Caenorhabditis elegans: one gene and its partners. The protein of the gene in region 1 interacts with the protein of each later gene in a pairwise test. Each region holds a gene or a part of one and is shown on either strand. Other genes may lie near its edges.

What was found. Proteins that work in one complex are often made in the same cells at the same time.
Region 2: the proteins of gst-15 (region 1) and act-4 interact in a two-hybrid assay, tested with the Caenorhabditis elegans proteins (one large-scale study listed by BioGRID).
Region 3: the proteins of gst-15 (region 1) and dnpp-1 interact in a two-hybrid assay, tested with the Caenorhabditis elegans proteins (one large-scale study listed by BioGRID).

Annotation. Positions count from the first base shown.
Region 1 is NC_003280.10:13,611,264-13,615,093, forward strand, and holds gst-15 (glutathione transferase), read right to left. Parts: upstream 1,934-3,830; 5' UTR 1,881-1,933; coding exon 1,736-1,880; intron 1,065-1,735; coding exon 568-1,064; 3' UTR 507-567; downstream 1-506. Other genes in the region: gst-24 (glutathione transferase), read right to left, coding at 1-31; gst-14 (glutathione transferase), read right to left, coding at 3,588-3,830.
Region 2 is NC_003284.9:4,958,634-4,964,957, reverse strand, and holds act-4 (Actin-4), read right to left. Parts: upstream 4,338-6,324; 5' UTR 4,297-4,337; coding exon 4,240-4,296; intron 2,159-4,239; coding exon 1,424-2,158; intron 1,368-1,423; coding exon 1,189-1,367; intron 1,134-1,188; coding exon 974-1,133; 3' UTR 545-973; downstream 1-544. Other genes in the region: M03F4.6 (EB domain-containing protein), read left to right, coding at 348-452. UniProt on the Caenorhabditis elegans protein: Actins are highly conserved proteins that are involved in various types of cell motility and are ubiquitously expressed in all eukaryotic cells.
Region 3 is NC_003281.10:5,861,298-5,865,657, reverse strand, and holds dnpp-1 (Aspartyl aminopeptidase), read left to right. Parts: upstream 1-1,854; 5' UTR 1,855-1,949; coding exon 1,950-2,060; intron 2,061-2,111; coding exon 2,112-2,205; intron 2,206-2,252; coding exon 2,253-2,670; intron 2,671-2,719; coding exon 2,720-3,526; intron 3,527-3,573; coding exon 3,574-3,667; 3' UTR 3,668-3,816; downstream 3,817-4,360. Other genes in the region: rabn-5 (FYVE-type domain-containing protein), read right to left, coding at 1-589, 639-845, 900-1,001, 1,051-1,101; dpf-4 (Peptidase S9 prolyl oligopeptidase catalytic domain-containing protein), read right to left, coding at 3,847-4,303, 4,358-4,360. UniProt on the Caenorhabditis elegans protein: Aminopeptidase with specificity towards an acidic amino acid at the N-terminus. Plays a role in membrane trafficking and is specifically involved in the recycling and degradation of endocytic cargo.

The DNA.
Region 1 (3,830 bases):
GGTTGAAATAGTAGAGCTTGTATTGTGGCATTGTTTGTTGATGGGAGATGATTGAGTAGTACTTTATATACACAAAGTCGTTTCGAAAATCTCCGAAATTGAGGGGAGGGAGAGTGAGAGAAATAGAGAAATAGAAGAGTGGTTTGTGTTTTTGCGAAGAAACACTGGTCACAAAACAAAAAGTCAGAAAATTGGAAAAATTTTTGAAAAATTCAGAAAATGCATCAAAAGCTGTTTTTTTTTCAAAAATTCAAAAGTACTGAAAAATCATATGAAGTGCTTCATTTTTCTTTTATAAAACTGTTTAGCATGATAAAATATACCAAAAAATATTAAATAAAATTTGCTAACTTGTACGGAAGATTATTTTAAAAAGTTCAGAAAATACATCAAAAGCTGTTTTTTTCAAAAATTCAAAAGTACTGAAAAATCATATGGAGCCCTGTTGCACTTCTCGCACTATTATTTCAAAAAAAAGTATTTCGGTAAAAAAATATCCGCATAAAATACTACAATATGTTTATTATCTTTTATCACAGTTTTTAAAAATTCAACGCGATTCAAAATTTAGACTTCTGTATCCATTCTCGTCGCAATATGATCCTCCAAATCTGGGGTTCCATAGATTTTCTCCTTATACTTTTTCAAATTCTGATGTCCTTCATCATCATCATCGATGGCTCGAAGCTTCTCCAGACTGTGCAAATTATCAGCTATAACTAGATCAGCCCATGTGAGCCCATCACCAACTAAATAACCTGACTTGCTCTTTTTGAGAATTCGATTGAGAAGAATAAAGTAGACATCTCGAGCTGGATTGAAAATCTCGTAGCGGATTTTGAGGATTTCTTCTTCTGGTTTCCCGGCCCTTGTGGCAAAAAGGAGTGTTTTAAAAGCAACGGAGAAGTCTTTGAATTGGTCGACAACGGCGTCCGCCCACGCTTCTTCTTCTGGAGTTTTTCCGGCATAACCAAATTTCTTGGCAAGGTATCGACAAATTGCAGCAGATTGGGGGATGTCGAAGCCATCAACGTTGAGTACTGGGAGCTGACCAAATGGGGTTTCTGGAAGTTGAATTAATTATGGCAGGTCTTCTTTGTAGGCACGCTTGCCTACATGCCTACGTCTGCCATCGTGTGTTCATACTCTCAGTTTGTAATCGAACATTTTATACTTAACACAAATATTTGAAATCTGCGCTAAACAAGAAGTCACAATGGAGAGCACGTAGGCAGGCAGGCAAAAAGTAGGCGCGTACGCCTGAAGATCTTATGAAACCCTAAAGCTGGATGTAGTGACTTTCTATTTATACGAAAAAAAAACAGAAATATCTAATCCTTTCTACAAGCTACAAACTACAAACTACAATATACAAACTACAAACTACAATCTGCAGACTACAAACTACAACCTATATTCTACATAATACGAATTACGGACTACAAGTAACAAACTATTTTTTTGACAAAAATTAATTTTTCAAAATACTTTCGTACCAAAAAACCTTTTACAAACTACAAACTAGCACCTACAAACTACAAACTACAAATTAAAAACTACAAACTACAGACTACAAACTACGAACTACAAACTACAAACTACAAAAAGATTTTTCCCCGAAAGCCAAGAAATTTAATGTTTTTTAGTTCAAACTTTTTCAAATTAAGTGTGGCATCAGTAACTACAAACTACAAACTACAAACTACAAGCAACACATTTCACTTTAAGAACTTACTGTCTCTCATTTTCTCCCATTTCCCTTCAGTATCGGCCATTGGAATCCGAATATCATCGTATGGAGTATGCGAGAGATGGAAAAGCTGTCGAGCCGGCTCAGCCCATCCACGTAGATCAAAATATGTTAGCTTGTATTGTGGCATTTTATTTCTGGAAGATTGAAAAAGGTGGATTCGAAAATCGACAAAATTGAGTGGAAAAAGCGAGGTCTCTAACAGTCTAAGTCTATTTATTTGAGGCTTACGTCTCTAAGCAAAAATATAATATGGGAATTGGAAATCGGTGGTCTTTGAGCATTGTGATAAAAAAGAGCACAAAATTTAAAATTTCAAAATAAAAGAAAAATAAGAGAAATAAAAACGATTTTTTGGAAATTTACATTTTTTTGCAGGACACGTTTCGAAAAAAACCCCACTTTGAAAAGAGAAGAAGAGCTTTTTCAAATTTTTTTTGGGTTTAAGTCACAGAAAATAGGTCGTAATAACCAAATATAACTGTCAAAAAATTTTAAAAATTTTCTAAATTTTTAATAATTTTTTTCCATTTGAAAAAAAAAACGTCCGAATTAAATTTGAATTCCCGCGCGAATGAGTGACGTCATTCTATGCATTTTCGCTTTTTCTGGCTAATTTTGGAGGGGTTTCTTGATATGTCTTCTACATTTGATTTAAATCGCCGTTTGTCAATTTTTCAAACATTCAATTTTCTAAAACAAAAAAAATATAAAGAAATATTAAATTTCCGTTTTTTAGACCAATTTCTTCCATGTTACGGAAAAAAGTTTTCAATTTGAAAAACAATTGCCGAATTTGTGTTTTAAATCAAATATAGAAGAAAATTTTAAAAAAAAACGCATAAATTTAGCCAAAAATGACGTCACTCATTTGCGCGAGAATTCAAATATAATTTGGGCATTTCTTTGATTTTTGAAAAATTGAAAAAAAAAATCATTAAAAATTTTTTTAAAAACATATTGTTTGGGCAATTTATTGTAAAAAATCACAAATTTTAAAACTCCTCTAAAATGGTTCATTTTGAATTTAGTTAGAGAACTCAAAATTGATCTACAAACACTAAAAAATTGCCCTTTTTCAATTTCCAGTGGTTCCAAACGTTTTAAGAAAAATCTTTTTTTTTGCCCAAAAAAAAGGACAGTCATTAGATGGCTTTAAAAAAATTGGGCAAAAAAATTTTTGGCTAAATTTGTTGAAAACGGGTAATTCGTGTATGCTGAATTCAGAAAATCTATGTTTAACCCATCAAAAACTATAACGTGGCAAAAATGGGCAATTTATGGCAAAAAATCACAATTTTGAAACTCCTCTAAAATGGTCAATTTTATAGATAGAGGACTCAAAATTGATCTGCAAACACTAAAAAATTGCCCTTTTTCAATTTCCAGTAGTTTCGAACGGTTTCAGAGAAATTTTTTTTGCCCAAAAAAAGGACAGTCCTTAGATGGCTGAAAAAAATTGGGCAAAAATAAAATGCCGTCTAAATTTGTTGAAAATAGGTAATTAATATATGCAAACTTCAGAAACTCTGCTCCATCTTTAATTCAACTTGGCATAAGTATAAAAATAAAAATGAATTGTAAAAAACCAACAAAAAAAAATCCAGAACAATCATTCTTTAGAAAACCTCCTTCGTTTTTATTTTGTTATTCTCCCCTACCCTTTCTGTTCACCAAACATCACATTTTCTTGTTTACCCCCCCCCCCCCCCCCCACGTGAGAGAGTATTGACAAGGACATTTCGGCGGCAGTCAACATTAATGAAGTTTCTGGTTGTCAAAGGAAACTTCTTTATTTTGTTTTTGAATATGGAAAACATGTTAGTAAGATTAAAAATTAGATCTCCGTTACTGGACGACTTGCGATATAGCTCTTCAGATTGGGGTGGGAATACACTTTTTCGAGATGAGCTGCTAGTTTTGGTTGCTCTCCAGAAGCTTCTAGGAGCCCATATTTTTTCAGTGTTTGAATGTTGTCAGCGATATAAAGATCCGCGAAGGTGATTGAATCTCCGATCAGATATCCTGACTTGCTCTTTTCCAGTAGGCCATTGAGAACTTTGAAGTACACATCCATAGC
Region 2 (6,324 bases), on another chromosome or scaffold:
TTTTTTGTATTTGTGATTCACTTTAATTAGATACCTTATTTATTTTATAAAAATGCTATATTCATGTGGCAATGTTTCGACTTGTAGAAAATGAATAATAGGCTGCGTCCATATCCTGTTTTTTTCCGTTAAAAATATTTTTTCAAACATTGTATGATATATTTTTAATAACATACTTGAGTAAAACAAAATGAGACACTAATCATAAAAGCGGATCAAGAATTCCATGAATTTTTTTAATTTTTGTTGTACATTTTGTGTTCAATTCTTATTTTAAACTCAAAAAACAACATATTTTTCTAAGATTTGTTGTTTTAGTTTAAAAAAACTCACCTTCTAAATTACAGGATCAACTACTAGGAGTCCGTTGCACAAATCCAGATGATCCGCTCAGTATTGGCTCAATTTTGGACCGCGTCGGAGACATCTTCGGAAACAAACAAGGCAAATAATCTGTGTTCCGTAACAGCTACTCACTTCATCTCTCCTCCGGGTTGAATTTTCTTTATTTGTATTTTTTACATTAGATAAACTTGATCAATTTGTCTTATTAAAAGCTTTATTATGAATGTGGCTCAAATAATGAGCATGATTCAGAGAAAAAATGGTTTAAAATGTCAATTTTGTAATGAGAAAATGGGGGTCATCGGCAGTAATAGGGTACAACAACAAAAGTGATTGCATTAAACCTCAACTTCAAACCAAAGATACACAGAGAACCTAGTTATACATGCCTAGATTACTACCGGAATAGTATTGAACAAATACAAGAGAAGTTACCAATGAAGATTTGGGTGAGAATGGGAAGCATAATGCAGTCGGCTAGAGAAGTTGGAACTATTACTAGCAATGTACACGGAGAGGGTGAAGAAAAAAAAAAGAGAAAATAAAAAAAATGTAAAAGGATGGTCTGGATGGGTTGCGGGATAATACGAACTTCTTTTGAGCGTTGTGGGTGGAAGGGGCAAAAAATTTAGAAGCACTTGCGGTGGACAATCGATGGGCCGGACTCGTCGTACTCTTGCTTGGAGATCCACATCTGTTGGAAGGTGGAGAGGGAGGCGAGGATGGATCCTCCGATCCAGACGGAGTACTTGCGCTCTGGTGGGGCGATGATCTTGATCTTCATGGTGCTGAAAAAATAGAAAGTAAATATTAGTTCTTGAAATCCATTTAAGTTAAACTTACGATGGGGCAAGAGCGGTGATTTCCTTCTGCATACGATCGGCGATTCCTGGGTACATGGTGGTTCCTCCGGAAAGGACGGTGTTGGCGTACAAGTCCTTACGGATATCAATGTCGCACTTCATGATGGAGTTGTAAGAAGTCTCGTGGATTCCGGCAGACTCCATACCCAAGAAGGATGGCTGAAATGAATAGGAATTAATTTTATGTTTAGCTAGAGGTGCAAATATTTTCTTACCTGGAAGAGAGCCTCTGGGCAACGGAAACGCTCGTTTCCAACGGTGATGACCTGTCCGTCAGGAAGTTCGTAGGACTTCTCGAGGGAAGATGAGGAGGCAGCGGTGGCCATTTCTTGCTCGAAGTCGAGGGCGACATAGCAGAGCTTCTCCTTGATGTCACGGACAATCTCGCGTTCAGCGGTGGTGGTGAAGGAGTAACCGCGCTCAGTGAGGATCTTCATGAGGTAGTCAGTAAGATCACGTCCGGCAAGATCGAGACGGAGGATGGCGTGTGGGAGGGCATATCCTTCGTAGATTGGGACGGTGTGGGTGACACCATCTCCAGAGTCGAGGACGACTCCGGTGGTACGTCCGGAAGCGTAGAGGGAGAGCACGGCCTGGATGGCGACGTACATGGCTGGGGTGTTGAAGGTCTCGAACATGATTTGGGTCATCTTTTCTCTGTTGGCCTTTGGATTGAGTGGAGCCTCAGTGAGGAGGACTGGATGCTCTTCTGGGGCAACACGGAGCTCGTTGTAGAAGGTGTGATGCCAGATCTTCTCCATATCGTCCCAGTTGGTGACGATTCCGTGCTCAATTGGGTACTTGAGGGTAAGGATACCTCTCTTGGACTGGGCTTCGTCTCCGACGTAGGAGTCCTTCTGTCCCATACCGACCATCACACCTTGATGTCTTGGGCGTCCAACGATGGATGGGAAGACAGCGCGTGGAGCATCGTCTCCGGCGAATCCGGCCTGAAATTATCAATTTTTGTTTCAATATATCCCATGATGACCCCTAGATAAGAAATGAATACTCTCGTTAGGTCTTTCAAGAATGTCCATTATATTTACATTGCAAAGAGAGAAGGTTGCGGCGAGAATTCGGTCGAGATTTGGCAGAGCGCAGTGAGTCCGCGCACGAGCGAGAGCAGTGCAAACACAAAAGGCCCATTCCCCTATTCTCAAAATGCCCTCTCTCGCTCTACTCCTCTAGTTCACGGTTGATATCGAATGAAGTACTTTTTCCGAGAACGCTTTGGTGTGTGGTGAGCGGCGACAACGCTCAACAGATGTGTGTATGTCTCTCTGTGTTTGTGTGTGTGTGTGTGTGTGTGTGTGTGTGTGTGTGAGAGAGTGTGCCCAGCGCTCGCTTACCCCCGTGTTGGTCGCAGGGGCCTGCTGCTGCCACTGGCCCCGTTTTTTTTTACCCACTCAGATCCATTTCGCAATCCAATTGCGCTGTTGAATAATGAGATAGGAAACGGGGCGAATGGGAGGCCATCAGCAGCACTGAGAAGCGGGGCATTCGGGCACTAAGACAGATTTCGAAATGCATTGAGTCATCGTCTACACACCAAGAGCACCAGATGTGAGCGTGTCAGTTTTTTGATTTCAAATGGAAATTGTGGAAAATTGAATTAGAATGGGAAGGGGGACATTTTGATGATGAAAGTCCCTGATGACCATTGCATTTGTACAATCCTATCCCGGTCACTTACTCTCTCCCCGTTCATCCTAATCGCACTTTTCGCCTCCTACTACTTGGCCTCAATCGGACTCTCATGTCTAGATTGCGCATATTCATTTCTATCAATCAATATAGTGAGGATTGACAAAAGGTGGCATTTCTTGGCCTTGACAGTCCGTCCGTCCCTTCTTGTGTCCTATCCGTCTCCCATCCGTTCGGCTGTTGGCGTGGTGGTAGTCATTCAACAAGAGAGGCCGAATGGAGGGAAACCGCCGCCCTGCATACAGTGATGCGAGGAGGATACAAGGGCACACTTGACCAACACACTGTCAAGATTAGCGATTAGCGGCAGCCTCTTTTCTGACACATATATATAAATAAATCCGGGAAGGGTTCGCCAATACCATCGGAATCTCACACTCTCAGACACTCACACACATCTTGTTTCCTAGGGCCACAAATTAGCCAAGTAGCACTATTGAGGGTGGTGCGGATAATTGATGTTCGCGTTGCGCTTCTTCGTTCCCAAATTATACTTAATGAGGATTGCAAAGTGAGGTGGTTGCAAATAAAGATACCCGTCGTGGATAGACAAAAAACTACTGGCTTTTGACGACGAAAAAAATCGCTGTTCTTGTTGAATGGTTTGCCTCTCTTTCTATCTTATGGGGTTGCTAATCTACTGGCGAAATCTCTATTCAACTATTGCCACTGCCCTCTCGGAATGTGCATTACACTACTGTTGGCTGGTCGTGATATATCCCATTGTACGAAGGAAACGTCGCGGACGTTCCCTCAACGGACGGCCTCTCCTCACACACCATTGCAAATGCGCATCGGGTCGGGGTCGGGTTGGCCCCTCTCCAACAATACTCTACATACACTAAAAACATATCCTTGCGACGATTCCTTTTTTCTTCCCCCCCCTTACATATTCTCCCAGTGGGATGAAAAAGGGGCGCGTGGCGCCAGATTTGAAAATGGGAGGGAGCGAGTGACCGCGCGCAGGTGTTGACGGACGATATGAATCACCACCCACTACTACTACAACTGTTGCCATAATTATTTGCGAAACAATGCAAATCGAAACGTTGAGAAGGAATAGAAATTCAAAATCCTTATGCGGCAGGGAAACAACTTTTTATACAATGCAATGGAATTATTCCTAGGTTGTTGGAAATTTTAAACCCAAATGAAAAGTAAATTTGAGACATGGAGTTGGAATAAGCGCAGTTAAAACTAACAAAATAAAATTTTCCAAAATTTCTAAATCTTATATTCAAATGTTTCTAGAGCAGTTAAGATTGCATAATATTGTTTTAAACCTTTGTCCCTAATTAGAATTATTCAAATGTTATCAACTCACCTTGCACATTCCGGATCCATTGTCCACCACAAGAGCGGCAACCTCGTCGTCACACATTTTTTTGGGAACTGAAAGCGGGTGCCTAGTGAAAAACCAGTGCACAACTCTGCCTCTCGTGGCCTATTTATACTGCTGCACGCGACGCGTCCGCGCCGCTCTTTGCCATTGGTCGGCTGGCCCCGCCCAACCGAATGAGGGATTGAGGGAATACTGGAGAGCGGCCATCCGACAGACGGTCCTCGGAAGGGCGGGACACGGAGGGAAAAACAGTGTGGTGGTGGTGTCCTGGAAAATTTGAATTGGGGGACCGCGTCGCGCCTTCCCGCCTCGAAGATGAGGCGTTCGGCAGAGCGCAACGTGAGAAAAACGCCTAAAAATGTTTTGTAATTATGAAATTGGTCAGTGAAAAGCGAACGGCCGTTCGGTTTTTAAGGGATAATTTGATAAGGAACCGTAAGATTTTAATGTTGCAAAACAATTGCAGACGTCGTGGCACTGCAGACTAAAGATGTTCTCAGAACTCTTTTCTTGCCATACTTAGTGATATATTCGAATCTAGAATTAATCTTTTTGTCATCAATATCAGGAAAAGCGAGGTTTTTTAACTGTAAGTTGGTAATGAAGGAACCGTATTTTCCAATATATCGATGGTCTCTAGTTTTATTAAGAAATGATTCAATGTTCAAATGTAGAAAAAAATTTGACACGTATTTTGTCAAAGTGGAGCATGACGTGCCAGTGTTAAAGGAAAATTCCTCATGTTTTCAACACTTTTTGTACTTCAAAGTATATCTGAAAATGATTTTGTTTCAAATCACAACAAAGCAAAATTTCTGAAAATTGTATTAGTCATCAATTTCTATTCTTGGATATTGTCACATGTTCGATTTTTGAATTTATATGATTCAACAATTTGTTTTTTTTTTCTGTATTCCGCCGGAATATAATCTTTGAGCGAGAGGGTTTAGATTTTTTTTCTCCAAAAAGTTTGAATTGTTTCCATTGAATTAGCTGCCCTGCTTTCTCGGTGTTACACTGCAAGTTTTGCTTTCAACTGCACAATGCGGGGGAGATGAGAAGCGGGAAGAGCGGAGCATCATCAGGAACCATCAACAACATGTTACCTCTCGGGGTCCAGTTTTATTGGTTGCGAAGAAAACGAACAAAGTGCCGAGAAAGAGGGACCTGATTAAATGGGTTCGCAATTTAATTAGTATCACCCAGAAAACTCATTGAGATTCTTTTTTTTTCAAAACATAGTGGTCAAATTGGTTTCCTCTTCCCCCCCCCCCCCCCCCCTCAACCGTGCGCGGTGTTCTCCCAATGTTTCACATCCAACTTTTCCCGAATAAGAACAAAAAAATAGTTTTCCATTTCGTTACAAAACATGAAGCGTGTCCTCTTTTGATGAGTAATCGTCGTATAGAAAAATATGAGAAACAATGACGGAAGGCAAAAAAAAGGAAATGTTATGTTTAGAAATGAAGTAAAATGTCACTGATGATTCAGAAACGGGGGGCATCGACGTTCTGTTTACGAATGTGTTCCACAGCTTTTTTTTGTGAGAACGATTGACCCAACAAGGGATCAGATGACATCACTTCATGCCCACCATAAAGCACAAATGCACTATAGGTTCTTTCAATACACTATGGCATGTTTATACACACTTGCTGTCTACTCTTCATTCTTAAGAGCACATTGTGTGTGTGTGTGTGTGTGTGCTCGTTTCAGACTTTCTCAGAATTGGTAAACTGGAAAATTTTGAACACCGCAGCTTGAGTTTACACTAACACAATGTCAAAATTCCCAAGGTTTATGAAAAGTCTGAACTTTTATGATCACCAATGTATATCAGAGGTGCGAGACAAAAATTGAAAATGTCAAGAAATTGCCAACTTTCAGTTACTGAGCCTTAAGTATCATTTTAATGGGGTTGATGTTTTAGAGAAATTCAAATTAATCTGAAATATTTGGAAATTTCAAATTTTTACAAGATTTTAGACAAGAAAAATTTCAACTTTGCAAACATTGTCCCACAATAAATCTAGAAATTTGAAAATTTTTCAAACACTTAAAGGTAGA
Region 3 (4,360 bases), on another chromosome or scaffold:
CTCTCTGCACAACTTCAGATGTGTCGAGTTCTTGTTGAAGACTTGTGCACCGTTGCTTGTAGTTCTGTGCCGTCTGTTCAACAGCGGCTCTCTCATTTTGAACCTGCTGAACCTGCGTCTCAAGTTCACCGACAGTTGTTTGAAGATCTCTAATTTGTCTGATATTCGAATCTTGATCTGCAATTGTTTCCGATGCAACAACCATTCGAGTGTTGATCTTTCCTAATTCCGACTGCAATCTGCTGATCTCTGCAGTAAATGTCACTTCCTGATCTTCTCTGTGCGCTCTTTCTTCTAGAATCTGAGCTCGCAGGACGGTGATCTCATCCTGCAGCTGCTGCTCGGTGTGCTCTTTTGCAGCTCGAGTTTCTATCAATTCTTCCCTATTCTTGAGACAAATAAATTGTAATTGATCAAGATCAGCTGGCATATCGATTTTCTCGGACCGAAGTTCTTGTGCTGATTTTCGTGTGGACCCGAGAAGCTTTTTGTACTTTTTTCCTAATGTAACAAAGTCATCGTCGGCTTGTTGCAGTTTGTCACGAGCCAAATTCAATTGATCAGTGAATACTTCTATCGATTTGTCGTGCTGAAATTAAGCTTTTTTAAAAGTTATTCTTTTTATTTATTTAAAATACCTTCGCACTGAGCTCGTCCAGCCGCTGCTCCGACTTGGCATTTGCCTTTGCCGCCTCGTTAACCTGATTCAAACAATTAGTCGATAATTCGTTCATTTTCTTTTCCAATTCTTTTCGATAGTCTCGTTCATTGCTCAAATCCAATTGATATCTTTCGTTCAACTCCATTGCCGCCTTCACTTCTTCCTTTAACTTTCGTTCGTTTTCCTGCAAAACAAACAAAAATCATTTGCATATTTGCCGTGTTCCCATGATTCTCACCTGTAATGCAGTCAAATTCACTTCATAATTCTGGCACATTTCGCATTGAAGCGTTGGATTCGGTGAGACTTGCGAAATCTTTTTGGACGGTATTGGCGGCTCCTGAAATTTAAGGGTCTTTGAATTATCGATTAAAATGCAACACTCTTACCTCTGCATTCACTCCGGCAGACACTTCTTCGCTAGCCGACGGTTCTGTCATTTTTCTAGAAAATTCTTGATTTATTCGAAAAATATATGAGTCATTTGATTAATTAAATAAAAAAGGTCTCATCACAATGTTGGCAAGGACTAGGTTGAAAACCTAGGCCATTTGGTGACACATTTAAAGAGCATTAAACATAATAATCGAGCAGTTTTAGTATTAATTTCATTAAACGACTTCCAAGAGAAAAGTAAATGTTTTCTGGAGTGAAATAAACATATTTCATTCTGTTGAGTTATGAAAATGTTATTATATGTTTAATTTATTTTTTATTCATAAAAATTTAAAAATTTGTAGTAAAAATCATTCTATTTATAAACAATATATCGCTCTGAAAAATCAAGATGAACAAAATTTTATATATAAAATTTATAATTATATTCAAAGTTCAGAACATTTCCAGCTATTGTAGTTTTCTTTCCAGGACCCAAAAAATGATTTAAGCGTTGCGCCTTGAATACAGTACTACTCTACGTTAAAAATTGTTCTTTTCTTCTTTTCGATTTCTAAAATTTTCCGACGTTTTTTTCCTGTCAATTTTTTTTTCACTAACTTTCCTCAAATAATTCCTGATCTTTTCGCTTTTCTCATGTCTTCTCCATTATCTTTTCCTTCATTTTTGATTCTTTCTATTAGAAACCTTGATAACTATCACTGATAACGCATTTTTGATAATCAGCACCACATATTCTTCTCTCGAACTTTCGCCCAGTAGAAACTAACCGTTTATCGCTTATAGAAAATCATTCCAGATTCAAATTTTATGCAACATTTTGTCTTATCTTTTTTCATTTTCACTCCGATGGTAGTAAAATATTGGGCTCAATTCATTTTGAGTTTGAATCATGACAAAGAAGTCGTTTCGAAAAAATCGTATTTCCGAAAAATTGAAAGTAGTGTGCGGCTGCTATCCAAAACATGAAATTGAGCCCAATACCAGCTATCAACCCAAAAAGGTTTTCACTATTCTTTCTTTGTCTTTTCATAAATAAGTTTATTTAATTTAGATGGCCGCTGCTCTGAAACCAAGTGCTCCGGAGATCCGCAAAGCTGCACAAGAGTTCATCAACTATCTGAATAAAGCAGTTACTCCATTTCATGGTAATATTTATTATTTATTTTTATATTCAAAAGTATATCAATTGCAGCCACCCAAGAAGTGAAGGATCGCCTTCTACAAGCCGGTTTCACAGAGCTTCCAGAATCGGGTCACTGGGACATTCAGCCAACCAGCAAATACTTTGTCACCAAGAACCGCTCTGCAATTCTTGCATTCGCTGTTGGAGGATCTTACAAGCCAGGGAGTGGATTCTCGATTGTTGTGGGACACACTGACAGTCCATGCCTCCGTGTCAAACCAATTTCCCACCAAAAGTCTGATAAATTCCTTCAAGTTGGTGTATCAACTTACGGAGGTGGAATCTGGAGAACCTGGTTTGACCGTGACTTGTCGGTGGCTGGATTGGTTATTGTCAAGAATGGAGAGAAACTTCAACACAAGCTGATCGACGTGAAAAAGCCAGTTCTTTTCATTCCAAATTTGGCGATTCATTTGGAGACCGACAGGTATTTGAAATTTGTCACTATCGTCCTAATTTTGCAATTTATTTCTCAGAACAACATTCAAACCAAACACGGAAACTGAGCTCCGCCCGATTCTGGAAACCTTCGCTGCTGCTGGAATCAATGCACCACAGAAACCCGAGTCTACTGGTTTTGCCGATCCACGAAACATTACCAACAATCATCATCCCCAATTCCTCGGATTAATCGCGAAGGAAGCTGGATGTCAGCCAGAAGACATCGTTGATTTGGATCTCTACCTTTACGATACAAACAAGGCTGCGATTGTTGGAATGGAGGATGAATTCATTTCTGGAGCTCGTCTTGATAACCAAGTTGGAACATACACTGCGATAAGTGGACTTCTCGAGTCTCTAACTGGAGAGTCATTCAAGAATGACCCACAAATTCGTATTGCCGCATGCTTCGATAACGAGGAAGTAGGATCGGATTCCGCGATGGGAGCATCTTCTTCTTTCACGGAGTTCGTTCTCCGCCGTCTTTCTGCTGGAGGCTCAACAACCGCTTTCGAAGAAGCAATCGGAAAGAGCATGCTCATCTCTGCAGATCAAGCTCATGCCACGCATCCAAACTATTCGGCAAAACACGAAGAGAACCATCGTCCAGCATTCCATGGTGGAGTCGTCGTCAAAGTAAACGTCAATCAACGATATGCAACAACTTCAACCACACACGCTGCTCTCAAGCAAGTTGCATTCGAAGCTCAAGTTCCTCTTCAAGTTGTCGTCGTTCGCAATGATTCTCCTTGTGGATCGACGGTTGGACCGATTCTTGCCACAAAACTTGGCTTGCAGACTGTCGATGTAGGATGCCCACAGTTGGCTATGCACTCGATTCGGTAGGGATTTAACTTTTAAATCACATCATTTATTTTCTTGATTTCAGCGAGTTTGCCGACACTTCGAGCATCTACCAGGCCACCACTCTCTACTCTACATTCTACGAACGTCTGTCAACTGTCCTCTCCAACATGCAATAGGCAAATCAATGTTGATCCTTCCCAATCATAATTTCTACTATTTAATCGCGTCGTGATATCCAATCTTCAGTTTCTCTGTGAATATTAATTTCTATAATTTATTTGGTTTTCAAATAAATAAAGCAATGCATTTTTTAAAAGCTGAAATTTTATAGATAACAATTTAAACAAAAACAAATCTAATGCTTCGGATTAACAATTTCGATCTTCGAACTAATTGATGGTTCAATTCCAACGGCCTTCATCAAAAAGTAGAAAGTGGCTTCGGTGCTTTCCTTGATCACTTGTCCATTCCTAAATCCATGTCCTTCTCCATCGAAAAGCATCAGAGCAGTTGTAACTCCACTAGCACGGATCTTCTCATACATTGTGATAGATTGGCTCATCGGTACTACCGTATCCTCCCTTCCATGCAAGAATGCAATAGGAGTTCTAATTTTATCAATATGATAAATGGGACTTCTTTCTTCGTAAATGCTCGCTTGCTCAGGATATTTTCCGATAAGCATCTCATTGTAACATCTTTCCAGTTTATGAGTATCTTCATCTAAAGCCAATAGATCAGCAACTCCATACACAGAAACTGCTGCTTTTATGATATTTTTCGGTGAGATAAGACAGCTCAGAATCAGATACCTGAATAAAAATATTTATAAAACTTTAACAATGACTATAATATTAAATTCCTACCCT